Linked DNA regions of Nothobranchius furzeri. The protein of the gene in region 2 interacts with the protein of the main gene of each other region in a pairwise test. Links are inferred from orthologs where the notes say so. Each region holds a gene or a part of one and is shown on either strand. Other genes may lie near its edges.

What was found.
Region 1: the proteins of traf3ip1 (region 2) and ccna2 interact in a two-hybrid assay, tested with the Homo sapiens proteins (2 studies listed by BioGRID and IntAct). The link is inferred for Nothobranchius furzeri from reciprocal best matches to the Homo sapiens genes TRAF3IP1 and CCNA2.
Region 3: the proteins of traf3ip1 (region 2) and pcnt interact in a two-hybrid assay, tested with the Homo sapiens proteins (2 studies listed by BioGRID and IntAct). The link is inferred for Nothobranchius furzeri from reciprocal best matches to the Homo sapiens genes TRAF3IP1 and PCNT.
Region 4: the proteins of traf3ip1 (region 2) and fgfr1op2 interact in a two-hybrid assay, tested with the Homo sapiens proteins (2 studies listed by IntAct). The link is inferred for Nothobranchius furzeri from reciprocal best matches to the Homo sapiens genes TRAF3IP1 and FGFR1OP2.
Region 5: the proteins of traf3ip1 (region 2) and golga4 interact in a two-hybrid assay, tested with the Homo sapiens proteins (2 studies listed by BioGRID and IntAct). The link is inferred for Nothobranchius furzeri from reciprocal best matches to the Homo sapiens genes TRAF3IP1 and GOLGA4.
Region 6: the proteins of traf3ip1 (region 2) and frmd4a interact in a two-hybrid assay, tested with the Homo sapiens proteins (2 studies listed by BioGRID and IntAct). The link is inferred for Nothobranchius furzeri from reciprocal best matches to the Homo sapiens genes TRAF3IP1 and FRMD4A.
Region 7: the proteins of traf3ip1 (region 2) and smc4 interact in a two-hybrid assay, tested with the Homo sapiens proteins (2 studies listed by BioGRID and IntAct). The link is inferred for Nothobranchius furzeri from reciprocal best matches to the Homo sapiens genes TRAF3IP1 and SMC4.

The regions. Positions count from the first base shown.
Region 1 is NC_091741.1:74,293,187-74,297,422, forward strand, and holds the start of ccna2 (cyclin-A2), read left to right. Parts: upstream 1-1,436; 5' UTR 1,437-1,537; exon of another isoform or gene 1,538-1,863; 5' UTR 1,864-1,899; coding exon 1,900-2,106; intron 2,107-2,803; coding exon 2,804-3,062; intron 3,063-4,236. Other genes in the region: bbs7 (Bardet-Biedl syndrome 7 protein), read left to right, coding at 1-103, 180-303, 413-546. UniProt on the Homo sapiens protein: Cyclin which controls both the G1/S and the G2/M transition phases of the cell cycle. Functions through the formation of specific serine/threonine protein kinase holoenzyme complexes with the cyclin-dependent protein kinases CDK1 or CDK2.
Region 2 is NC_091754.1:2,499,749-2,503,700, forward strand, and holds the start of traf3ip1 (TRAF3-interacting protein 1), read right to left. Parts: upstream 2,801-3,952; 5' UTR 2,702-2,800; coding exon 2,579-2,701; intron 1,025-2,578; coding exon 956-1,024; intron 334-955; coding exon 172-333; intron 1-171. Other genes in the region: agr1 (anterior gradient 1), read left to right, coding at 2,801-2,896, 3,376-3,479, 3,911-3,952.
Region 3 is NC_091758.1:23,787,430-23,790,929, reverse strand, and holds part of pcnt (pericentrin), read right to left. Parts: intron 2,559-3,500; coding exon 2,447-2,558; intron 2,227-2,446; coding exon 2,100-2,226; intron 1,974-2,099; coding exon 1,854-1,973; intron 1,775-1,853; coding exon 1,717-1,774; intron 1,613-1,716; coding exon 1,523-1,612; intron 1,438-1,522; coding exon 1,326-1,437; intron 1,235-1,325; coding exon 1,194-1,234; intron 730-1,193; coding exon 595-729; intron 509-594; coding exon 319-508; intron 243-318; coding exon 107-242; intron 1-106. UniProt on the Homo sapiens protein: Integral component of the filamentous matrix of the centrosome involved in the initial establishment of organized microtubule arrays in both mitosis and meiosis. Plays a role, together with DISC1, in the microtubule network formation.
Region 4 is NC_091741.1:59,845,428-59,849,358, reverse strand, and holds the start of fgfr1op2 (FGFR1 oncogene partner 2 homolog), read left to right. Parts: upstream 1-1,131; 5' UTR 1,132-1,396; intron 1,397-1,977; 5' UTR 1,978-1,979; coding exon 1,980-2,114; intron 2,115-2,360; coding exon 2,361-2,478; intron 2,479-2,908; coding exon 2,909-3,051; intron 3,052-3,142; coding exon 3,143-3,256; intron 3,257-3,931. Other genes in the region: med21 (mediator of RNA polymerase II transcription subunit 21), read right to left, coding at 583-697, 1,034-1,075. UniProt on the Homo sapiens protein: May be involved in wound healing pathway.
Region 5 is NC_091752.1:16,190,716-16,194,215, reverse strand, and holds part of golga4 (golgin subfamily A member 4), read left to right. Parts: intron 1-442; coding exon 443-511; intron 512-1,003; coding exon 1,004-1,330; intron 1,331-1,416; coding exon 1,417-1,464; intron 1,465-1,564; coding exon 1,565-1,621; intron 1,622-1,704; coding exon 1,705-1,803; intron 1,804-3,500. UniProt on the Homo sapiens protein: Involved in vesicular trafficking at the Golgi apparatus level. May play a role in delivery of transport vesicles containing GPI-linked proteins from the trans-Golgi network through its interaction with MACF1. Involved in endosome-to-Golgi trafficking.
Region 6 is NC_091744.1:72,025,685-72,029,646, forward strand, and holds the start of frmd4a (FERM domain-containing protein 4A), read left to right. Parts: upstream 1-1,162; 5' UTR 1,163-3,962. UniProt on the Homo sapiens protein: Scaffolding protein that regulates epithelial cell polarity by connecting ARF6 activation with the PAR3 complex. Plays a redundant role with FRMD4B in epithelial polarization. May regulate MAPT secretion by activating ARF6-signaling.
Region 7 is NC_091753.1:52,617,985-52,621,484, reverse strand, and holds part of smc4 (structural maintenance of chromosomes protein 4), read right to left. Parts: coding exon 3,410-3,500; intron 3,342-3,409; coding exon 3,116-3,341; intron 3,041-3,115; coding exon 2,964-3,040; intron 1,544-2,963; coding exon 1,391-1,543; intron 1,278-1,390; coding exon 1,151-1,277; intron 1,064-1,150; coding exon 874-1,063; intron 701-873; coding exon 556-700; intron 485-555; coding exon 311-484; intron 108-310; coding exon 1-107. UniProt on the Homo sapiens protein: Central component of the condensin complex, a complex required for conversion of interphase chromatin into mitotic-like condense chromosomes.

The DNA.
Region 1 (4,236 bases), on a different chromosome or scaffold from region 2:
TATTAATGACGACTCCGTGAGCCACACCCTCAGGATGATCCACCCAAAGCTGGAGTATCAGTTGGTGCTGGCTAGAAAAGTTCAACTTGTCGATGCTCTCAAAGTAAGTTTTGGTTAAATGTGTTTTGTTGCTGTTTATTTATGATTCAGTTCATTATAGTTGAATCTATGTTTCCTAGGAACTTCAAGTTCATGAAGGAAATGCAGATTTCCTCATCCCAGAGTACCGCAGCATTTTGGATGAGTCTGCTAACCTTCTGGAGGAGTACAAGAAGCAGCCAGCCCACCTTGAAAGGCTTTACGGTAAAGCTGGAGTAAAAAGAACTAACTTTCACTGTTGATTAATTTTTGTTATTGTTGCTTTTTGATTTTCACTTTATAAAGTTTTGTGTGTATTTCTGTTTTCCTGCAGGAATGATCACTGACCTCTTCATCGACAAATTCAAATTCAAGGGCCAAAATGTGAAAACAAAAGTGTCCTCGTTGTTGGAGATACTTGATAATTACGAATTAAAGTCACTCTTAGACTTTTTCAATGAGCCATGATGCCATAATGGCCAAAGATGATCTATCTCTGTGACGGTTGTTGTGTTGCAATCTTTACATGACGATAGTTCATCTTTGAGACTGTGTTATTTTGTTAAATTTTATTTAGAAATAATTTACTCTCCCTTAAGAGTTGAGTAATAAATTACTTTTGATGTATTAAGGCGTACTGCAAATGGTTAGGAGAATACTGCAATACTCTTATTTTCATGCAAGAATTTGATGGAATTTGTTACAGTTATAGTATGTGTGTCAAATGCTACTCAATTTAATATCTAATCTTTCTGTATTAAACCAGTCCTTGTGCAGTAACTTGTCAGTAAAAAATAGCTAACACACCAATTGTTTTCAATTTTATTCCATATTATTTACATCTTAATGTAATGTACCTCATGCTACAACAGATTCGTCAAGAAACAAGTTGTTGCTGTATACTGGGTTAGGTACTTCCATGTGGATTTAAGTTTTATACACAAATTTATCTAATCAGCATAAGTGGTCATTCAACCTAATGTAAGAATAGGACACATGAAAAATAAAGCCAAACATAAAAATACAATAGTATTTAAACATTTTAAATTATAGTCTTATGAGTAATTTCTTAAACTAAACATATGTGCAAGTCTTTCAGTAAACAAGTATACTGGTGGACCTAGAAATGACCTCAAGCACGAGCCCTAGGTTAGGAAGACGTCTAAGTATGTTGAAGTGCTTCTAATGATATAAATATACATAATTGTTGCAGCAAAGATTTTTATTCCAAATGCGTTAACGTTGTTGTTACTCGCGTTTAACTTTGTATTTGGGATCTTTTTTTCAAACCGGTTTTAAATTTGCAATTAAAGTTTTTTGTCCCTCCTCGCCTCCTACACTTGTAATACGTCAGTTCCTTCGCGGTCTGTGATTGGTCGGTTTCAATCATCGCGGGCTACTTGAACTCTCTAAGTGTTTGCATGAAAATGCATCGACAATAGCTGCTGTCATTGTGCAGGTTTGTACCGGATACAAAACTTATAAATAGAATGGCAACTTAGTTTTTCCTTAGTTTTGCCAACCCGATGTCAAAGGTGCACGTTTGTTTTTATTTGCTTTGTTCTAGCGCTGCAGTTCCAAGTGCTGTTGCCATCTCAACAGTTTAGTTCTGATTCACGATTCAGTCTGCTGTGCAACAGCTAAAGCTCGCTTCGACATAACTGCTCACACGCCATCTTTTTTAGCCTTTTGATTTGTAAGCTTTCCTCTTTTTTTCGCTCTGTGAGGAAGCACACTACGGTTGACCACTGCTTTTTTATTTATTTGTTTTTTTGTTAAAAAAAGTGCGGAGAAGTGGATTCTCTCTTGGAGGGTGGAAACATGTCAGGAGCTAACAGGCAAGGAAATGCGGCTAGTGAGCTCCCCAACCATGAAAACATGCTTTCAAGGCTCAGAGGGTCGCTTAAACACCGAGCTGGTGAAAACCAAGAAAACCAGCCTCCCAAACAAGCCGCCAACAGAACCGTGCTGGGAGCCCTGCAGAACAACCATCGGAGCAAAGCCCAGAACCAGCGAGGCGCTAAACAGGTAACAGGCTAGCAACCTTGGCCTAAGCTAACACCTAGGCAGGCTCTGAAGGCAACTAAAATGGTTACATTTGGATGCAAGTACGTTAATTAGCTGCTTTAAGCGCCTTTTTAAAAATGAAGTAAAATGACATGTTATGTTGCTCTGTTAAGTTTCCCCTGCTTTCCGCCATTTTAATAACCTTATAGCCCTTGAGTTGCTTTGTTCTAAACACAAATGTGCTTCTGGAGAACCTCCCGTCTTCATTTACTGTATTTAAGTCAATTTACACAAGATTTTCTTTGCATTTACAAGTATCCTGTAACCGAGACTTAACACAGAGGTAAAATTAATTTAGCATAATCTGTAGACTTCTTTTATTTATTTTTTTACACACCTGCATGTTTTTCGTGTTCTAATAAAGGGCATACATTTTGGGTCCTTCCTAATACATTTTGCTATTGTAGAGTTAAACTAATTAATCACCAGCTGGTCTGAGAAGAGAAGTTTTTGAAATACTAATTTATTACCTTTTTAATGTAGTATTAATAGTTAATAATACTTTATAATATATTGCTTCCACTGAGCCTCACATTAACAGAAATGCAAAGAAATTTGCTATATTTGAATCACATTTTCCACAGAAGTTTCTAATTCACAAATCAAGTTTTGGCAGATGTCTGTACATTACAGATTTTTTTTTTTTTTTTTGTTCCAGGAAACATCACAGCCCTTGGCTTGCAAAAATGAAGATTTTAACAAAATCCTTGTTGAAAGACCTGTTAAGCAGCCAGCTTTCCAGATCCATGTGGATGAGCCTGACGTAGCCTGTGACAAAAAGCATGTGGCTGAAACAAACAAAGCGAAGCCCACAGTGGAGGAATCTCCTCTGGTTGTCAGTCATGCTGTGGCACGACTCCGACAGCCCCTGGCAGTGATCGAGGTTCCGGTTCCGTTAGCCATGGATGTCAGCTTTGGTGGGTTAATATTCAATTCAATTCAAAAATACTTTATTAATCCCAGAGGGAAATTGATTGCTGTAGTAGTTCAGTTCAGTTCACTTTATTTCAAACATATACATTCACCAACATTTCATAAAATCATTCCACGCAATTGTTTGAAAAGGAGTAGGGAGAAGTGTATACTTATTTAGCCCTACCCCTCAGGTTTACATCCTCATCAAAATTTAAACAACAAAACAGTTACAATGCCTTCAAAAAAAAAATAACAATAATAATAAATAAATAAAATTATCATGTTCAACTAGAACTACATTTAGATTTTCTAATTTGTAGAATAGATTAAACATCAGTTTGCATGCCGTCCTGGGTTAATTGCATTTTCTTCATTCTTATACTTATTTAACATTTCTTTTTTGAGTTTTATTTTAAACTGGTTTACATTACTACTATCCTTTATTTCTTCTGTTAACTCATTCCAGAATTTAACGCCCGCTATTGAAATAGACATCCTTTTCAATGTTGTCCTTACTCTTTGTACTTTTAAATTCCACTTCCCTCTAAAATTATACATAAAAATAACTCAGAATAATAATAATAATATATAATATTAATAATATTAATCAAGTCATCAAAGAGTTATTGTATATCACAATGGCTGTTGGCAGGAAGGATCTCCAGTAGCTGTCAGTGTTGCAGCAAAACTGAAGAAGCCTCTGACTGAAGACACTCTTCCATTGTCGGGCAGTCTTGTGAAGAGAATGCTCAGGGTTGTCCATCATTTTCTTGATTCTCTGGAGAATCCTTCTTTGCATTATCTCCTCCAGCGGTTCCGAAACTGCCGAAACTCTGGCTGAGTCCTTGAAAAGGCTTGGAGTTCCTCCATCCACATTGCCCATTATGATCGATGGAAGAGATGGTTTGAATTTCCTCTTTCTCTGTCTCCGTCCCGCTCTGCACCCACGCTTCTTGCGTTTTAGCTCATTTGGGATTTGTGGCTTCAGTTGAGGTATTATTTCAGTCTTTCCAATGTTAATCAGTTGCTCCCGATTGTAAACCAGACGGTTGCCATGGTTACGCATCACAACATGCTCAAAGTGAAAAAAGCTAAAAGTAGCAGTAAAAATCCTCCAAGCTTCACAGCACCAGAAACAGAAAAGTGTCCAAAAAATAGTTTTTCTTGAGAAACTAG
Region 2 (3,952 bases):
GAGTGTGAGTGTGTGTGTGTGTGTGTGTGTGTGCGTGCGCGCGCGTGTGTGTGTGTGTGTGTGTGTGTGTGTGTGTGTGTGTGTGTGTGTGAGTGTGAGTGCATGTGTGTGTGTGTGTGTGTGTGTGTGCGTGCGTGTGTGTGTGCGCGCGCGTGTGTGTGTGATGCAGACCTTATTGAGGCAGCACTTGCCGATGGCCTGAAGCAGCTCGTTGGTTTTCTCCGGCTCATGGCCGGCAACGATCCGTGCGGGCTTGGCCGCCAGAGGCTCGCCGGTCACCAGCATCACGACATCTATCGCTTTCTGAAGAAAGGTTATTTTTGAGTCCTTTTCCTAGAATGAGATATAATGAAAAAAGCCGTTACCGAGACAAAAACATTTAAAATATAAACTGATTAAAGGCAAAATCTAAATAAAATTGGTTCCATACCAAAAAGAAATGATGACATCATTTGTTTTGTGCAAAAGCAGGTCAGTAAACTGATAAACCAAAGACCAGGAGGACTTGTTGGTCAAACTGACTTCTCTGCACTCCTGACAGCTGAAGTGATGAAACTGAAATATGAATCTTACCCCCAGAGTGACTGGGTTTAACCGCTTGTTACCTCGTTGTTCGAGGGAGGAAATGTAAAACACAACACTAACAACTCATTTCTCTCACTAGTAAGAAACGGGCAGCGTGCAGCTACGTTTGTAAGCAGAGAAGACTCGGTGTAGCTCTCTTTCATTCAGTCCTAATCAAGGATCGCCTTGCAAATAGCAGACTAGCATTCTGACACCTCGACAAACACTCAGTCTCTGCCTGCCAGATCTTCTAGCTCACAGTGTTGCCAGACGGCGTATCTGGTGACTCAGGCTGCCCAGTGAAAACACACGGGGGTAATCCTGAACAAATTAGTCTTTTCAGGGGAAAAAAAGGTCAAAAATCAAGTAAATATAGCAAGAGTAAGCTTACCTTTACACTATCTGACTTCATTTCATTTTCTCCATAGAGGCCTTTCAAAAAACCAGTGCTCCTGATTACCTTAGAGTCAAGAGGAAAATAAAGGTTTACTGTTATTATACAAATATTATAGGTGCTTCTGCAAAACCTACATCATTCTAATACAAGTTAACACAAAATGTTTTTGATTTTATGGAAGCAAGCTTAAAGCAGACTTATGGCTGCAAAATGTTTTAATTTTCAATCAAGTATGTCTTAAACAACTGAATTCCTTTAGTCAGATAAAAGAATATTGCTATAGGAATGCTAACCTCAATTAATTATAAATAAAGCTAGAGTGAAACATAAAACCATCCAACCAGTGTGGTGAGAGAATAAGATCTCAGTTCTGTTTAGAAAATAGATTTAGTCTCTAATCTGTTAAAGAAAAGAGTTAAAATATGAGTTTAATTGTAAAAAAAACATGCTTTTAAAGAAAATATTTTTAAAATTACATTATATATTATGTATTATTTAGTTCATGCAGTTATATACATTTTGCTAATATATCCTGTTTGTGAATACCCGTTCTGCTTTCTTAAGCATGTACACAAACACAAATGTACGATTTTATTTTTTACACAAACATGAGCAGAAAAAGGGTTTAACACAAGAAGCTGACGTCATATTGTTCTACACACATCACACACACAGATGCTCAGTTATGGGAAGAATAATAACCTAAATAATTTAGGTAAATAATGAAAACACACTTTTTCTGCACAAATACTCATTCAGTTAGGAAATGCTCGTCAGTCAAAAATAAATCAGGAAAACAGCAGAGTGGCTCATCAAAATAAGAGCATCTAATGATGCCCCAAACACAAACAGTACGACAGACTGCACTCTACAATATATTATGATTCTAATTCTTGTGTAGATACATTATTCAAATAAATAGTATTTTAAACCGGTTTTTGGTTATTTAAAATCTTAAATATTCTAAATTTTCCTTATTCAGAAAACGTCAGTTGCCAGAAGATAACAGGAAAATGTTTGATGTACAAAATATGTTGCCTTTGTGTTTTACCCTCGTTCTGCCATTTCTACTTAGACAAGAGTAAGTTTTGTCTTAAGAAGGGACAATCATTGAAATAATAATACTTTTTGACATTTACACTGTCATTATTTGGAGCTGATACTACAAATAAAATACAAATTTTAATATTTATCCAGACCTACGACTTACACTGGTGAATCCTACGTTTGTAAACATCTAACATCTAGATGTCGATCAAATGTTGCTGTACATTAAATACAAAAAGGCAGAACTTATGCATCCAACAAGACAGCTGTGGTCAGCTGCTCGGCAGCAGGTGTGAAGCAAGTACAACCTAAACATGTACAGTCATAATAATGAACGTTAGCAGCTGCTTGTCTTTAACGCGTGTTCGCTCTGGGTGCTGAAGAGGAGAAATGCAGTGATACCGCTTTTGAACAGCTGCGGTTAAGCTAACTCGCTCCTGGTGAGGGTTGTCCGGTTAGAGCTATCCCTTTCATGGACACAGATAATAAAGCACACGCAAGGGCTTCATATACAGTTTTTAACTTTATAAAATGTCTTTAAACGTAACTGTTGTCCTTAGTCGGTCTCACCTCACTGATGATGTCGTGAAGGTAACGAAACGGCGGTTTGTTTAGCAGTTTTTCCGTTAACGGCGGCTTCTTTATGACTTTCCCCAGCGTGTCCTGAGTCCTCTTCACCACCGCTGCGTTCATGGCGGCAGATGAAATCCCAACTGAACAATTTAGCTGCTAGAAAAGGGGCGAAAACTGGTCTAAAACACGAATGCTAGGCGGCTCTGGGGCTCCGTTGCTATGTCAATATCCAACAATCCCACAGTGCACCGCGAACGAAAGCTGCGCATGCGCCATAGGCTTTCGGTTGCTAGGTGTTCTGTGTCCATAGCAACGGTAGCTAGCTATGTAGAAAGAAACGAAATAAGGAAAACGATCGTGTATACAGCGCATCTCCAGATAAAAACCACGACGTGCTTCACAAGAACAAAAATAAATAAAGATTAGGCCGACAGACAGACAGACAGATGATAGATAGATAGATAGATAGATAGATAGATAGATAGATAGATAGATAGATAGATAGATAGATAGATAGATAGATAGATAGATAGATAGATAGATACCTAAATTTTATTGTTTTTATTATTGTTTCCTTATTCACAACAACACTTAATTTCCATCTGGGATTAATGAAGCATTTTCTAACTGGATTTATTAAACAAGCACTAATACTACATTTAGAGTCAGTGTTTCAAAGAATTTTATTTATGAAAGTATGAATTATGAAATCGTATGAAGGTGTGCCCAAACTTCCCATGCATGCAAATATGTCTCATATAAGTCATAGACCTTTCTTTGTGTTTCATTTAAAGCAGGATGCTTGTTTTACCCGTTTGGCAAGTTCGGTTAAAAGTCTGACAAAAGGTAAGGTGAGAAGAACAGCTCAAACAGACGCTTGCTGCTTCACGCTGGACAGGTAAGACATCCACTACGAGTGACTTCAGTAGCCAAAAATCAGAAAATTCAGATTCAGTTTCAGCTGGAAAGTTGTTCGCTGCTCTTCAGAATAGAAATGTAATGCTTAAACCATTTAATGCTACGTAAGGGCTTGCAAAGTTACATGCTGTTTCTTTCAAAAAGAAAAAAAGGTACAATAGTTCATTGGATTGAGATTAAATAAGAAGCTGCATTAATACATTAAGACTCATTCCTATTTTGATTACAGTAAACAGCTGTGATGATGTCATCCATAATAAAATAAAATATAAAAATAATAGTAACATAAAACAAGCTTCCTTCGCGGCATCATCGCGCCGGCCTGTCAGACTTGTTTGGTGACTCAGAGCTGAAGCCCTTCAGTGAGCTCTGCGGGTGTAAGAGTTCAAAAAATGCTTTGTGCTTTAAAAGTGCACGCCTTATTCAGCTGTCTGGTTCTCCAGAGGACGAGGA
Region 3 (3,500 bases), on a different chromosome or scaffold from region 2:
ATAATGCAACTATTGATCAGAACACAAATTCTCCATACATTAGACAACAGCTGCAGCGTTCATATTCAACTCCAACTAAAATAAAATGAAGCCCGTTAGCTCTTACCTCTGCTGGGCCAGGCTCTGCTCCTGCATCAAAGTGCTGAGTTTCTTTATTTCTGCAGACATGCAGTCCTTTGCCTTTTGCAGCTCGCCCTCATACTCAGCCTCCAGTCTCTGTCTCAGCATCAGGACCTGTGGGTCTAAAACACAAACCCGTTAGCAGCTCTCTTAAGAAATCTCTGAAAACAAGAGCAGGTCTGGTGAAAAGTATCTTACTTTCATTTCTGTCCAGATCAACCTGCAGAGACCTGAACTTCTCTTTCTCTTCCTGGAGAGCCATTTCCAGGCATCCCCTCTCCCCATCAAGCTCCAGCTTCAAGGCAGACATCTCGTTTGCATGCTTCAGTTGAAGCTCTTCTTTTAGCTTCCCTCGTTCCTCTTTCAGAGCGTTCTCAACAAGGTTAAGCTGCAGAAACAAACACAAGTGTGAGTTTGACTAACGGTTCATGTGTTTGGGTTCTCTCTGCAGAGCCTGCTCAGATGTACTTGCACCTTTTGTGTGTTTGACTGCATTTCTGCATCGCGCCGTTCACTGAGGGAGGTGAGTCTGTTCTCCAGAGTGTGGATGATCGTCATTCTTGTTTGCAGCTGTTCAGTGAGGTACCAAGTCCTCTGTTCTACCTCAGCCTAATAACAGAAAAGCAAAGCTGAGCATCACAAGGTTCACAAAGTCACAACTAAGGATGTTCCGATTACGTTTTTTGCTCCCGATTTGATTCCGAGTCATTTGATTTAGAGTATCTGCCCATACAGAGTCCCAATCCGATACTTTTCAGAAAATAATTAATAGAAAAAGGGGAAGAAAAATCAGCAAAGTATTACAATAAGAAGAAAACGCATCTAAATTGTCCTGTTTCACTTCTTTTTTTTTTCGTTGGTAAGGTCTTACTTGAACCCAAAAATATTGCTTGATTGCAATCATTTAGGTAAGTACTGCCCCCTATCGCCAGAGAAAATACACACCATCACTATAAATCTGATTTATTTCTCCCAACTCCGATCCTTTCAAAAACATGTGATCGGGCCCGACTTCTGATCATGTGATCGGATCAGAGCATCCCTAGTCAAAACCAAATGATCCGAATCCTCACCTCAACCTGCCTTGCTGCTTCCAGGTGAATTCTGGTTAGTTCTACACAAAAAACAAACAAACATTTAAAATGTTATTAAAACCAACTTGTAAATAATACAGTGTTTATTGTGGAGGTGCATGAGTGAGGTACCCTCAACGTGGCTGTCAGACAGTTTGGCTCCAAGTTGCTGCAGCTCCAGGGCATGACGCGTCTTCATCTCCTGCAGCTCTATGTAGTAATGGTCCGTGAGGTCAGAGCGCACCTGATATACAAAGATTCATACAGAACACATGAAAGAGCCATAGTCCTGTGTGCTAACAATTTAGGTGTCTGAGGAACTGCCTGACCTGCTCCAGCTCGTCGTTAAAAGAAAGCGTTAAACTAGTCTGCAGACTGGGATGGTCCAGGGCATGCTGGTCCTCCAACTCAAGTAGCTCCTGGATAAGATGCCCAGTAAATGAATTAAACGGCCATTTATTTTGTAAAACTTATCCATAATTAAAACGACACTGGTAGGAAGCATCGAGTCTTCACATCCTACCTTCGGTTTCTCCGGTCTGACCTCTTTGTCCTCTTCAGCTTTGGCTTGAGACAAAATACTGAAAGAGAGAAAACACATGAGAACTCTGGAATAGGTCAGAACTGTCCTACAATGTCACATAAAGCCAGTGGACACACTCGTCATCCGTTGTTTTAAGCACGGATTCCTCCAAGGCACTTTCTACAAGCCTCAGCTGAAGCAGAGCGATTTCCTCTTTGTAGCTCTCCTCCGATGCACGCAGCCTCTTCTCAAAGTAACTGGGAAAGGTGATGGTAAATGACAAAATAAAAGCCTTAAATTTGATGCTGGTTTATGTTCTGAATAATAATTCATGCAGATCACCGTCATAATAAGTTTAAGCAGACTTTGTGCAGGAGTCGTACCTCCGGAGGTTTTCCAGCTCAGCCTCATTCTGTGCTTTGATTTCTCGCTTTTGCTCATTAAACTCCGTCTTAAGGCACTCAATGTCGTTAACATGAGAGGAACGAGCCAAAAGCTGCTCCCTGAGCTCTGCAGGACCACAAAGCAGAGAGATAAAGAGTGTAAACACACCTGGGAATACACACACTCCTTTGATTTTCAACAGTCGCTTAGAGAGTAAGAAAGCTAATTTAAGCTGTTATAGACAGGATTATTCTCAAAAAGCTGAATATTTAAATGAACACTGAAGATCAGGAACTAAAAACAGAAACACACACACACACACGTCAGGCTCCTGTATTAACCTCACCTCCCAGCTCCTGACGACTAGTCCTCATGCTCTCCAACTGGGCCCACAGCTGACCTACTTCCTGTTCCCAGCTCTGTTTCAGAGACACCTTCTCCTCCTCCAGGCGCAAAACCTGATCGTCAGAGTTGGAATATTTATTTGACGTGTGTGTGAGGAAAGTGCCAGTGAGGCGAGAGAATGATGCTCATTCGGGTTGGGCATTGTTTGATTTTGAATGATTCCAATTCCACGTTTCGATTCCGGTTCCTATCGATTCCTGATTCCGATTCTTTCAAGACATGACATGCTTTACATGAGCTAACTAACCACAAGCCCTACTTGATGAAATAATCTTAACTTCAACATGAATTTTTATTCTATGAACAATAACATCACCTTCATTTAGACAAAAACATGTTTTGGGGAAAAAAAATAAAAAGACGTGCAGCACAACCAGTGTGTTTGTTTCTGACCACAACCAAAGACTGGAAGAAGCCTCTGGGATGAGAGACTAAATGTCTCCAACATTCACAACATTGTGTGTCATTTATTATTATTATTTATTGTGGCAGAAGCTGGTGTGGTCCACCACAGAGAAGCTGCTCTAGCATGATGACTTTATTCTACAGGTTATTGTTCAACCTTCTGACGCACGCACGCACACACACACACACACACACACACACACACACACACACACACACACACACACACACACACACACACACGTGTTGGTAAGTGTGTGTTTTTATTTCTGCAGTGAGACAAACTCACCTCACACAGTTTGTTCTTTAAAGCTTCTGTTAAATCCACCGTGTTGACGTATTTTAACAAGTTTCCTCTACGCTGCAGGAGTTAAAGTTTACATTACGGAGTAAAAGTTCGGCAGACGCGTTTGTTTATATTTGGCCGCTGCGTGCTGGGTGGGGGGAGGGGGAGACTCGGTGCTGCACACAGACAGCTGGTGTGATCAGCTCTGAAAAGCGTTGATCCCAATTTGCAGATCATGTTTATTTTTCAGGGAAATCGGCCACTGATTCCTCTTCCGGTCGGCATAGTAGGAATCGAAATAAAA
Region 4 (3,931 bases), on a different chromosome or scaffold from region 2:
ATGACAATTGTTAAAACTGTTTGATTGTTCAACATCTCTACAGGATCCTCATTAAAAAATGAATGCAACTCAGGATGGGAATAATTCTTTTGACATTGCAGAAGCAATCAAAGTGAAGGGCAGTCCAACTAAATATTACAAAGTGACACTTTTGGGGATGGGCAGGGTACAGTTGAGATTCAGTTCTTCAGGCTATTTTGGAAATGGTAACACTTTTTTTCCTAGACGTTTTGACAATTTTCTTTAAAATTTCAACATTTTTCTTGACGTTTTAACTTTATCCTGGAAATAGTATTTCACTTGTTGACTAGCATTTTTACTTTTATACAATTAAACCCCGAAACCCCTTTTTGAAACAATTTATTAAATTGTGGCTTCTTCGAATAGGAAAATAAATAACCCATGAGAGTTTGGTAGTGATTTTTCCACCAGGCATGTGAGCATGTTTGGCCTGCCAGACTCGTCCTCTGTTTAATTCTACACAGAGAACTAATGCTTCCCATAAGGATGCATGACTGGTCAGGCTAGCTGAATGTGGGAGAAAAGAGATTTAAATAAAGATTTTGCTTTGAAGTTACAAACCTTCGGCTGAATTTCCTGGCTGATCCTTGTTGATTGCTGTCTGAATATTACTGAAGGAAGCAGGTGGAGCACATTGTTGCAGAACACCGATGGCATCACAGAACTGATCAGCCAGCTGTTCACACGCAACAAAACAAACACGGGTTTTAAAACTCCGGACATTTGTTTAAAAGAATATAGAATAGATAAACAGCCAGTATAGTCTGATAGTTGCATTACCAGTTAAACCAAGCCATGTTCATTGGTTAAAACATAAAAGCTGTGATAAATTGTGTAAATTAACTAAACCTTAGACTCGCAAGTTAGCGATTAGCTACATTTAAAAGACTGAAACGATAATTCTGCAAATATTTCTTATCTAAATCCATTTGTTGTAATTGTGTAAGATAAAAAAATAACTATTGACGTAGAAAATAATTATATTTCGGGATATTTCAATAGTTTTGCTTACAGAATTGACAGCGTCTTGAAGTTGCGTTAGCCTATCCGCCATGTTGCCGTAAATAAAATAAAAAACTCCCCAACGTGACCCTCGCGAGAGTTTAACGTCTCGCGGAAATAAACAAGAGGCTTCGAGTTAGCTGAAGCGATGGCTGTGACCGTCCCACGGCTGGTTTTTTGTAATGTGGATAGGTTTTAAATCGACTTTTTCATGACTAGCGATATTTACTCTCGTGCTTTAAGGAAATGGGAACGCGCCAAAGCATCTAATCCGGAGTAAACGTCAGCTTTTAGCCAGTGTTAGCCACCAAACAACAACAGGAAGTAAAGAAGCTAACTCAACCCAAGTGGTTTTGTACTTTGAACTCTTCAGGTATGACCACACATTTGTCAGTTTTGCTGCCTTTTGTGGACCTTACAAGTTTAGTTATAGCAGCCGGTTGGTGTTATGAACTCCTCGGTAGTTTATATTTGATTAATGAAGTGTTGTGGTGATAAATTGTGTCAGTAAATGCAAAATATGTTAAGTAATAAAACTCTTATTAGAGTAAAATGACCTATCAATGCATTATTGGCTGTAAACTAGCGTGCTATCACCTACGAGGAGGCTTAAGGTTCAAGCTAGGTTCTTTAGCTTTAGAAACGTTTATTCATGGCTCATTTCGATCGTTCTGGTGAATTATTATTATTTTACAGAGTGTGGTGAAGTGAAAGTTCATGTATTTTCGTGTGGCTGTCTGTAAAAAGATTCTGAACAACTAATATAGAAGTAGACAGATCTTTGAATGAGCTGAGTTTGAAGAAATAAAGATTAGTACTTACTGGACTGATTTGTTTGCATGTATTCGTAGTGTATTGCATTAATTATATTTATTTTCAATAAATTGATACCAACAAGTCAGAGCTGTTGAATAATCAAAAATAAGTTGTTTTTATGCTTCTGTATTTCCTTAGGTATGAATTGTAGTTTAGAGAAGGTCTTGGCAGATGCCAAATCATTAGTGGAAAGGCTTCGTAACCACGACAATGCCGCTGAGATGCTAATTGAACAGACAACATCTCTCAACAAGAGAGTGGAGGCTATAAAAACGGTATGTGATTTTTTTTTTTCCTATTTTATGTGCTGTTGGGTACTAGCTTAGTGCCACCAGGGGTCACATTTTACTAATTCTATAACTGAACACTCTATAATGCAAAAGAAGAAAGTAAAGTGCATTCCAAAGAATGATGGAATATTTTAACCGTAGCGTTGACTGCTGTTTAGTTTACAGGACATAACTACTGAGGGCGAAGCTTTTTATTGATTCGTTATTTATTTATTTTTTCACATTTGACAGTACCAGGAAGAGATTGATGCACTGAACCAGGTTGCGCGACATCGGCCTCGTTCCAGTCTGGTTCTGGGAATCCAACAAGAGAACCGTCAGATCAGAGAACTCCAGCAGGAAAACAAAGGTAGTCTTTCAGTGTTAATACTCATGGTGATTGCTTCCTGTTCGGTACAATACATTCCTTTACTTTTGTCAAATCACACTGCTTACAAACACTGAAATGTTTTTGGGCAGAAAAAATGTTTTTTACAAATATCCAGAGACATCATTAAGGTAAAATTTATTTACATAGACATATACAGATCGACTAGAGTTATTTAAAATCCTTACAAAATATTTTTCACTGCATTTCCCTATTCATTTGTTCAGTAATTAGTAGTCACTTACTTAGCTTGCTGCCATGGTCCAATTAAGAGTGAATAATTAGCCTACTTACCTTTTTATACCATTACTAAAATGTCTTCCTCGTACCACTAGAGGGAGCTCTCATACCATGATTTGAGAATGACTTTGTCATAGTTAGCCAACCAAACATGCGTTCTCTCTTTCTGCAGAGCTCCGAACATCTTTGGAGGAACACCAGTCTGCGATAGAGCTCATCATGACTAAATACAGGGAGCAGGTGTTCAGGCTCCTAATGGCGAGCAAGAGGGATGACCCCGCCATCGTCACTCAGCTGAAGGAGCAGCACACCACGGTCAGCAACTCGGGTTTCCTTTGTTCTTCTAATTCATATTTTAATAACTGTAATGTAAAATCTTCTAATCATTTTTTGTTGATCTGTGCAGGAAATGCAAGCGCACATAGACAAAATCAACGAGATGGCATCTGTGATGAGGAAAGCTATAAAGGTGGATGAGGACCGAATATGTGAAGACGAGGAGAGGATTAAACAGTTAGAGGTAAAGACGAATAAGGAGTTGCTGCATCATCCCTGTAAATGTTCTGAATTCTGATGCAGGAAAACATGTTTGACATGAATGAAACAAGGGAGAGTTTAGCTATTTAAATGATTCATGAGTCATCTTACACAGGTAAGCAATATCATTTAAGACTAACTCATTTGGATCAAAGCATCTGCCATAGTGGGTTAAACTATGAATCAGTACATTTGGGACCGGTTTTCCCACTGGTTCATTCAGTTTGTTATAACTGAGAGTAACGTTCTGACAAACGGGTCATGTAGTTAAGTGATCTAAACAATAAGAAGCTACAGAGAAAATAAAATCATGAAAGAAATCAGTTTAAACACAATGTTAATGGAAATAAGAAAGTAGAGAACAGGCATTATGTTTGTGGTTTAAACATGAGAGTTTTATTATCTGTACATTTTACAGAAGGCTGTAGGTTCAAATCCCGGTAGATCAGATTAACCTATCTGTGACCACCAATAGAGCTGGACGATATACATAAAAAGCATATTGATTAATATCAATAATTATTAATAACTAGAAAATGTAGAAAATATATTAGAAGTGCTGAGCTGGCCATTTTATGGTCATTACGTACAAGTTGGTTATTACCAGACTTGATTTTCATTGTTTTTATCAGACTTTTAATAATCTAAATATTTCCAT
Region 5 (3,500 bases), on a different chromosome or scaffold from region 2:
CTTTTTCTCTGATGCTGCTGATCACACGTCGACTAAACCAGCTAGGCTGCTGAATATCGACTCACTTCATTTAAACCTTTGTGCTCTTGTAATACAGCTTCAGACCGTACTGCCAAAGCACCTTTAATCCAAATACCAGCTGTGCTGCTTGACTTCAATGTGTCTGTCTGTCCTGATCTTATGGCTATTCTCTAGAGTGACGTTTTAACCCCTTTTTTGTTTATTAGATGATAGAGATGCCTTCTTTTTTGTATTTAACCCCTCTGTTTTTCCAAAATTGCATGAGGGTACACATCGCCCCTGCATTGCTCCCAGCAATACTAATATTGCTCCCTCCAGAGTAATCAGGGAGGGCCATGCTGGGTGTGGATTACTAACTGGCTCCAGGACAAGTCCATCTTCACAGCTTTTCTTTCTCTCATCATGTGGTTTTATTCTGCAGAGTGCCTCCAAAATACCCGTCAGGTCCCCCAGAGGGAGCATCAATGGGGATGGAAGTGCTTCTCCTTACGTACGTTTTATACATCATCTAAGAACGTTAAAGAGCAAGTCACCCCCTACCAGATTCTTACTCAACTCCCACTTCCTGTTTGAAAAATGCAACAAATGCTGTTGCCTAGCAGACCAAGAGGGCGTAGCCACTAACAAATGCACACACACACAGGCTCACAACATCATTGTGACATCATATGGTACTAGCTAACGTTCTAGGGTACCTCTTAGTCAATAGTAATGGCAGATTTAAATTCAAATGCAGTGCAGAGTTTTTACCTGACAACGGCACAACACTGACAGTTTTAGGCAGAAAATAAAAATTTTAACTAAAATGCACTTTAGTGCTAAACTATTGACTACACGTGTCTGCAGCACGATTAGACACACATTTATATAGTTTATCAGGAAAAAAAAGTTGATTTGAGGGTGACTTGCTCTTTAAGCACATTTGTATAATGCTGTAACCTGTTTGGTGATCCGCTCAATTCACTTTTTATGCATACAACAGAAAGAGGAGTCACAGTCCTTTACCCAGAAGCTGCAGCTGAAGGTTCCTTCAGTGGAGTCGCTGATTCGTGGCGGTGCGAGTCGAGCAGAAAGTCTGTTCCGCTCCTCTTCCAAAGAAAACCTGGTTCGAAGTTCCTCACGCGAGTCGCTGACGCCTTTGGGTGAAAACGAGTCCCCTGTGGCCCCCGCATACGATCCGCCTTCAGATATTGAGAGCGAAGCCGAGGAGCCGGCAGGAAGTGTCGAGTCTCTTCCTAAAGAGCAGCTGTTGCACCGACTGCTTCAAGTCGAGAGGAGCCTGGGGAAGTACAGGGGGAAGTACTCCGAGGTGAGACGCCCGCAGACAACGGCTTCTAGACGATTAAAATAGACAAACTGTTCAGTGAAATGCACAAACTTTTTCTTGTCATGCAGCTGGTTACTGCATACAGGACAGTCCATCGGGAAAAAGAGAAAACGCAGGTAATTTGGTTGACATAGTCTTTATTTATTTTCCCTTTATTGGTTTTATCCTTAAACATCTTTTGGAAACTAATTAGATTTATTTTGTCGCTCCACTCAGGCCATCCTCAGTCAGAGTCAAGATAAATCTCTCCGCAGGATCGGAGAGCTTCGTGAGGTGACGGCATGTTTTACTTGTGTCGGCATCGATCTTTCACACTAAAGGTGTACGTGGAAATAAACTCTGTTAATGTCCTCTAGGAGCTTCACATGGACCAGCAGGCTAAGAAACATCTACAAGATGAGTTTGACGCGGCTCTAGAGGAGAAGGACCAGATGATCACTGTCCTTCAAACACAGGTGAGCGTTCAGCTGAGAGATGAAGGGTGGGAAAAAGTGGAACAAAGATTTTGGTTTTAAGTTTACAAAAATTGAATGGATTATTGGTCTTTAACTCATTCACTGCCAGCCGTTTCCTGATCCGAAAAGCCCTTCGCTGCCAGAGTTTTTCAGCGTTTTCACTTTTTTTTTTTAAGAGTCACAGAACGTTGCACCCTATGATGATGTCAACGCCAAAACTAACAAAACAAAGCGTAGACTCACCTCTTACATCAGGAAGAATCCCTGCGTTTCGAGCGTTATCCGTTCTTTCATAATCCGTTGTTGAATTGTGATCGGCAGAAACTTTTCCGGTTTGCGCCTCACTTTTTTTTTCAGCAGCGGCCCAAAACTATCTCCTGACACATGGATTTTCTGCTTCCTGATCACGTGACGTGTGACGTATGCGGATGAAGATTGGCTTTAAAGCTAGGGTGTTTGTTCTCACGGTGCTGGGCTCGTTCCGATGCCCACACAGTAAAAAAATGCAAATGACGACTTTAGTTGTTAGTACATGGTTAATTTATTGATGTAGATTTTTTTGCATCATCAGTAGATTTTCACAAAATAAAATTAAGAATTTCTTAACAGAGAGGACACTTTGGATCATATACAATATTTTACTGTATATGCTGTAAACAAAGCAGACTTCATTACCGCATATGCAAACCACCTGTCACTCGATGCACTGGCTCTCACTGAGGCCTGGATCAAACCATGTGACAATGCTACCCCATCTGCTCTCTCAGTTAACCACACTTTCTCCCACACTTCTCGTGCATCTGGCCGAGGTGGTGGAACGGGCGTGTTAATTACCAACAGATGGATATACAGTCAGTTGCTACCCATCACTAAATACAACTCCTTTGAATACCATGCCATCCAGGTAACTGTACTGAAAAAAATCTTTTTAGTTGTCATATATCGCCAACCAGGTCAACTCAAGAGACTTTCTTGATGAACTCGACACCATGCTCTCCTCCATTCCTGAGCACGACTGTCCCACAGTGGTCCTTGGAGACATGATTATTCACCTGGACAATCCCAGCTCATCAGGCTTCCTGTCACTAATGTCATCATTTGATCTAAAACTAGTACAGAGTCCTCCAGCTCACAAAGCTGGAAAAGCACTTAACCACATTTTCACCAGAAACTGTGCCATAGACACAATCTCTGTCACACCGCTGCATCTTTCTGATCATTACTTCATCCATTTCAGCATGACTACATGGAAGGTCAACTGCTTCCTCCCCAATGGTCTCTTTCCGCCGCAACCTCCGCAATCTGGCACCCAACCACATCTCCTCTCTTGTTGCCTCCACTCTCTGCTTATGAAGTAAATGATGCCACCGAGTCTCTCTTCTCCACACTCTTCTCTTGTCTCAACAACTTGTGCCCTTTAGCCACTAGACCTGCTAGATCCTCTCAGTCGCACCCTTGGCTAAATGATACCCTCCGGTCTCTACACACCAATCTTAGAGCTGCGGAACGGAAATGGCGCAAAACAAAAGATCCTGTTGATCAATTGAAATTTCATGAATTACTGTCCTCATTCTCTGCCAGCACCACTGGTGCAAAGAAAGCTTTCTACACTGACAAAATTCTCAGCTCTACTGACTCTCAGAAACAATTTTTGACATTCAAAACTCTGCTCACCCCTCCATCTCCACCTCCTACCA
Region 6 (3,962 bases), on a different chromosome or scaffold from region 2:
AACTTAAAGTCAGCACCAATCACAGAAAAGGTCAATGTTGGACCCCGGCTATCTGCGGGTCAGGTTGATCTAATTGTTTCAACATTAATTCAATGGAGCGCCTGTAGCGTTGACGTGGCGACTGATGCACAAAAACAACACCCTGCGTAAGTCTCTCTTTAATTTATTCATCAAGCCTCTGCAAGCACTGCTCAGCGCCGAGCCCCCGCGGCTTTCCTCCTCTTCCTCGCTACAGTATTGATTCCCCGGGATTTCAAAACGCCCGCAAGACTGTAGGTGAGAGCTGTGGTCAGTCGGTCCAATTAAGGAGGCAAAGAGAAGGGGTCATAAAAACAGAAAGAAGAGGGAATAACATACATCTCCTGAAGGCCTTGCACCACACCCTGTTTTTGGCATCAAAGGGGACCCCCTTTTCTCCCCAAGGCAGCTCAGGAAGAAGAGCGTTATTGAGCAAGTGGGCAAAGTGGGGGGAGCATGTAGGGAGACTCCCACCCTCTTCTCGGCCCCGTCTCTTTCATCACTCTGTGGTATTATTCATTTTCTGTCCTTTTATACTCCATCCAAAATCAACCCGCAGACCTATAGGCTCATGACACAGCTGCACTCAAGTTCAAAGGAAATCCAAACGCAGCACGATCCGGTGAGGAGATGATCGCCTACTGGCTGTGGGTGCAAGCTGAAGGCAGTGAGCTGCTGATAATGTGTTTTCTCTCTGTGGAGACAGACTGTTAGCAGGGTAGCTATGGTGAGATTGGACTTTAATGTCCGCTGCCAAACCTGCCCCCCCTATTGGATGGGTAGATAGACATTTGTCATTTTTGTGTGTTGGCGGTTTTCCCATCTGCTGCTGTGTCCATGCAGAGCTCAGAGTGACTTCTTCGCCATCTCTGCTCCTCTATTCTCAGAAATAACAGCATGCAGTCCTATAAAGGAGAAAGACAGAGTGGGGAATGGGGATGATGGGAGTGGAGGCGTGTGGGGATGATGGGAAAGAATTCTACCCTAAAACAGGAAGTGGAGACCCCGAAATGTTCCTTAAATATCCCAGCACAATATGTACCCTTTGTTGCAGAGAGGAATAGCATGTCTCCATGAGAACCGAGGCGCTGTCTGTGTGTGACTCACTGATATGAAGGAGTTTATTCATAGTGTGTGTGTGTGTGTGTGTGTGTGTGTGTGTGTGTGTGTGTGTGTGTGTGTGTGTGTGTGTGTGTGTGTGTGTGTGTGTGTGTCAATTCTGCAGAGACAGAAATAAAAATTGAAGAGGTGGGAGATGTTGAGACTGATTTAAAGATGCTTGAAGCAGCAGGAGGGGGTGTGTGTGTGTGTGTGTGTGTGTGTGTGTACGTGTGTGCGTGCGTGCGTGCGTGTGTGTGTGTGTGCGCGCGCGCGAGTGACAAAGAGAAAGAGAGAGAGCAGGAAAGCTGTAAAAGGAGATGCTGTTTCTTGTTTTCCTGTGGGTGTACTGCAGTAACTCGGTAATCCTCATTAATATTTATCTGCCGGGCAAAGTGGAGAGAATGATTAGCTCGTGAGAGAGTTTGAGAGTGTTCATGTGCATGTTATCTGTGAAATCCACCCCACCCCTTCCCCTTTTGTGCATGTGTGTGTGTGTGTGCATGGATGTATTATAATAGCGAATAAAACACAAGAACTAGGTCAACTTCTTCACTCGAGAGACAAACAACTCCCAATACTTCAAAGTCTAAATGTCACTGAGTGTGTTACTCATTGCTCACATGACTTTTTGTGACACACACATGCACACACATTTCCTCCCAAAGACACAGCTGTGCACGATGCCATTGATTTTCCTACTTGCACTTCTAACACAATCACATTAAACCAGACTGATTGGAATTGAGTTTCAGACAGGCTCTGTGTCACTTACAATCTTCCCGTCTGTGACAGCGGCGGTGGCGTCTGCGTGGGTTAAAAACGAACCTGTGATGGAAATAAAAGCCAAACGAGCTAAAAACCCGAGGTTGTTGTCACGTTTAAAAGAAGCACCTTTTCCAGGGACTTTATCCAGCCTCAGCTGAGAATGCTCTCCATGTGTGACCCATTTCCCTCCACTGCTCTCCTCCCTTCTCCCCGTCTGACTTGCCACGCACTCCGGCATAACACGCCTGAGTGAAGATCAGAGAGCAGGAGGAAGATGGTGAGATAGAGAGATGAGAGGGAGAGATTAAAGAGGCACAGGAGAAAGTCAGATTACAGAGCGAGAGTTTTCTCCTTTGGTTCTTTCTCCTGTTTGGGTCAGAACTCTGTGCAGTGCTTTGGTCGGCTGACGTGCTGTTTTTAAATGTGCAATATAAATAAAATTGGATTGGATTGGATGGATTGGAACTGTTCCGACTAAATGTTGTTTTCCTCCATCTACCATGAAGCTGAATGTAAAACTCTTCTGAGTTAAACTCCTAAGTCCCGTTACCGTGGTAATAGCCGGCCAGTTGACGCTCAGGTCTGGTCTGTTTCAATCACACGGCTGGTTTGACCTTTCCCAGGATTCAGAGGGGCATTGCAAACACGTAATCATGGGAAAAGTGCACTGTCATGCCTAACCTCTCGCCTCCCTCCTAACCACGGCAAATATTTACACCCCACTATAAATTACAGTGGCTGAGGGGTTGAGCATCTTCAGTCAAGCCCCCGTTCCATTTTGGAAAATTCACACCAGAGGATGAGTACATTCCTCGTGGGTTTCTCAGGACACCAGTGAGAGCACAATGTCTTTCCCAGAGAGAGAGAGAACAACCTTATAAGTTCATTTTAGTTGTTTTATAAAAGATGTTTATGAAAAAAAATGTGTATTTCTTCCTTGCTGTAAAATCACACATATTTTTATAAATAAATATTCAAAAGTTAGGAAATTTTAGCTGTTGCTCTTGATTTTAAGTGTAAGTAGAATGATTATGGACCTTTTTAGAACACTTTATCTCAGACAGAGTCCCAGTTATTGCATTGATAAACCTCTCAGTGACTTAGAAGGTCTCTAAAATCCAGTTTCAACCCACCACGCTCACTGGGCTTTGAGAAAGGTTGGAGAATCACGGTACCGTGCAGATTTATTGATTTTCTGATGAAGGCTATAATAAAAGATTTAGCAGAAAATGACAACAAAGATAAACATTTGTCTCCTTTTTTCATTTTAAAAATTGCAGGTGACATTTAACAAAGTCCCCTCAAATTCCATTTAAAAATGAAAGTCTACTTCCAGGAAAAGCTAGCTTTTAACTTTTTTTTCATTTGTAAAAAAAACCCAGCATTCATCGTTCAGGGCATTTTGTTAAGGCTGTGTTTACAACAGACTGAAATAACAGACACTGAAGGTTGGGCGAATGGGGTTTGTGTTGCCTCCATGTGGCCATTGTTGTAAATGAGTTCATGTCAGCACGTGCAAGATTGTGGATTTCTGTCTCAAAATTAAAATCTACAGTTAATGTAATCATTTGCTTTTTTTCACCTTATGGATGAAAAAGTAAAATCAGTTGAGTTTAAATGCTTTTTTTTTTCCTGGGACAGTTGAGCCTGGGAATGTCGGCTAAAAGGAAAAATGTGAACTTAAAAAAAACATTTTGGCTAAAATCCCAACACTGCCGTCCCTTTGAGACCAGATGGAACAGTTTGTTTTCAGTTTCTGTAATTCAGTCTTATTATAAACACACAAATGTGCATTCTTTTCTAAATGTTTTCCCTGCGTGGTTTGTACCCTTCTAACAAACTAACAGTCTGAGCAGGTGAGTGAGATGTTCAGTCTGCAAGCACATCCCTTTCTCCTGGAAATCTAACGCCGAGAGAGGGAAAGCGATCGCGGTTCAGAGAATGAGAGTGCGTGTCGCTTTAAAACCAAGTGCCGGTCAGAAAACCGAGCGACTGGCTGCATTTCCTTAGTGGGAATGTTTGTGTTTGTGGCGCTCAGGCCAGCAGATGGAGGCTGAATTACTTCAGTGTGAAAAGAG
Region 7 (3,500 bases), on a different chromosome or scaffold from region 2:
TTGATGATGACGTTTGGATCCGAGATGGCTTCGAGCTCAGCAGCAGGAAGCGTGTGGAGTTCCTCTGCTGGCTGGCCGTCGATGGTATGAAGGGACAGCTTGGCAGCCTGGAAACAAGAAGGGACTCGGATACCTCGGCTCTTTCATCAACGTCAGTTTGGAGGAGCAGAAATACGAGCTAGCGTTTGATCCCAGCGTTCCCAGCCGCTACGTGGAATTTTGTTGTTTTAAAGCTACATTTTCATTCTGACACGACCTAAAGTTGCAAGAACAAACCACAAGGATGGAAGCCATCCCGCGGGGGACTCACCTCGTCCTGCCAGTGTTTGATCTTGCCGTTGTGTTTGCTGATGGTGGCGTCTATCTGCTCAATAGACAGACGGACATTGAGGGACTCCTCCTGCAGTGCGTGCTCCTGTTGCTGCAGGACCTTTATTTCCTTGGAAACGGTCTGATGCTTTTCCTGAACCTCCGGCAGAGTGGCCTAACGGAGCGGGGATGAACACCTCAGATGTGCCGACACAAACGAGACGTGTTCCTAAAACAAACACCAACCTCCGCCTCCTGACAGGTCTTCATGATCTCCCCGGCCTCGTCTTCTAGTTTTTTCAGTTGTTCTGTGAGCTCCACCATCAGCTTCTCGTTCTCCTGCAGCTCCCCCTGCACGCGGGCGACGCCCTCCTCGCACTTCTTCAGGTTGCTGCAGAGAAAGCAAAACGAAAAATGACTCCTTTAGATTCTGCTGCTTCAGCGATGAATGAAAAACGGTAAAACATCAGAAATGTAAACAGCCAGAAGACATTTTACCAACGTTAAATAAACTCCAGGTTTATTCCCAGACCCCCCCCCCCCGAACAGGCGTTTCCTGCTTACCGATCAGCTGTCTTGATGGCCACTTTGGCCTTGGTTATGATGGAGGAGCAGTCGTCCAACTCCTTGTTGACCTTGTCCAACTTGTCCTGCTGAGCTTTAAGTTTGTGGCTATTGATGTCTACAATCAGGTTGTGGAGCCTTTTCACCTCGTTCTCCACCTTCTCGGCCTTGCCGGACGCGGACTCGTAGTCTAACGGAACCACGTTACGCTTCATTATTGCAGTCGTGTCACGATACGTCGGTCATGTTTCTCCTCCGTGTTCAGAGAAGGTTCTACCTTTTTTGAAGGCCTCCAGGCTCTTCTCCAGCTGCTTCTGTTTGGCCTTGTCCGGGGCCGCTGCCAGCACGTTGGCTTCGAGCTCCTTCATCTGAAGCTTCAGGTGAGTCTCCTGGTCGGCTAAACTCTGAGGCAAGAAGAAGAAAAACACCGTTTACTAAACCCAGGAGGTACTCACGGCTACGGACAGCAGAGGAGCTGATCGGAGACCGACGGGAACTGGGTGGGTGAAGCTCTTACACTCATGCTCTTGGAGTATTTCTCCAGAGTGTTCTTCATCTCTCGGAGCTGCGTCCGCAGACGCTGGATGCTCTCCTCCAGCTGCATCCTTCTCTCTTGGCAGCCCTGCACCTTTGATGCTTTCTCGTTCAGCTTACTCTCCATTCGGTCCAACTGCAAATATGTTTATGCGTTTATGTTTATGTATTTGTCAGACGCTTTTGTCCAAAGTGACTTAAGCCTGGTTTATGCGTCTCCGTCAGCTCCGCAAGGGACAGACACGCACGGATTGACGGAAGCATTTTCCCCTCATACTTCTCCGTCTCCTGGAGTGTTGCAAAGCAATTCCCCGGCAGGACAGCAGGGGGCGTAGCGCTGTTCTGTGGTATCCTGTCATGTATCGGTCCAAGATGTGTGTTTATGTTGGTTTTTTTGTACATAAGAGACGTTTTAACACAGACGAATTTGTCCCTCATCCTCCTCCCCCTCTTCATGCGCTCCCCACCTCTAAACCCACGTTTCCTGTCATTTCCGTCCACAAATAAAACGCTTGCTGCGCATCTTTTCACTCCTCCAGTCACGGGAGAATTTAACGTTCATGTTTTTAGAGTTTTTTCGCGAGGTGTTCTTCAAGCTGCTCCATGTCTGCCGCTAGTTTATCCTCGGCTCTCTTTGTTTTTGAGGGCGCAATGGCGGCGGTGTAGACAACAGCGGCACCCTGACCAATCACAAGCTTGCGTTGTCCGTCTCGACGGACGGATGTTTAGAAAAGAGAGCTCGACTCCGTCTGTCCTTGCGGAGCTCTCCGGCAGGCCCGCAAGGACGTTGCGTGTCTCCGCAGAGACGCAGAGGCATGAATCAGGCTTAACAAGTGATAATCGGCATGTTGCCCTTGAGGCTAACAACAACAACAATAACAACAACAACTTGACATCAATCATGGAGAGGAGGGAACAAGGAGTGGACAGTAGAGAGGGGGGGCGGGTGCAGGGAGGGTGCTAGTTTAGAAGATGCTCTCTGAAGAGCAGGGTCTTCAGGAGTTTCTTGAAAATTGAAAAGGAAGCCCCTGTTCTGGTAGTGTTAGGAAGGTCATTCCACATTTGTGGAACGATGCATGAGAAGAGTCTGGATTGTCCTGAGCGTGGTGTAGGCACTGCTAGCCGACGATCCTGTGATGACCGGAGCGGCCGGGCCGAGACGTAAGCCTTTGCAAGAGGATTCAGGTAGATGGGAGCCGTACCGTCTCGGACTTTGTATGCTAGTGTTAGCGATTTGAATTTGATGCGTGCTGCTAGCGGTAGCCAGTGGAGCTCAGTGAACAGAGGGGTGACGTGTGCTCTTTTTGGCTGATTGAAGACCAGACGCGCCGCTGCGTTCTGGACCATTTGAAGAGGTCTCACAGTACAGCCTGGAAGACCCGTTAGAATAAATAAAACTTTTTATTTCGCTCTAGTAACGGTTTACAGGCACGGGTTATTTATTATGTGATTATATTGAGTGTTCGTTAGGGTCACAGCTAAAGTATTTGTGATTTAAAAAGCAATAAATCATGATTAAACAAAGTGTTGGGAGATTTGTGACGATGTAGACTCACCTCCACCTGAGAGACCTCAGCACCAATAGAAGAGCCCATTCGGCCTTTCAGCACCCGCCCTCCTCCAGTCATGGTTCCTGTGAAACACACCAGAAGAAGCTTAAAGACTTGAGCTCACTGATGAATCCAGACTTCTGTCAGAAGACACCGACCGGCCATCTCGATGATCTGTCCCTTCAAGGTGACCACCCTCCAGCGCTTGTCCCTCTGGAACGCCATCCTCGTGGCCTGCTCCATGTCCTGGGCTACGAGCGTGTCCCTCAGGGCGAAGTAGAAAGCTGGTTTCACGCCCTCGTCGTTCACTCGCACCATGTCGAACAGGCGAGGGCTGTCCTCTGGCGTGTGAATGGGAGCCATGTTCTTCTCCCACACCTTCATCTGAGAACACGAAGAACAAAGGAAGTTTCGTCGCGGTCTTTGTGACTGAAGGTGTAAAACCTTTTTACCTTGTCTAGACCGATGAAAGTGGCCACACCGATGTTCTGTTCCTTCAGGAAGGTGACGCATTTCTGAGCAGTGTCGATGGTATCCACCACG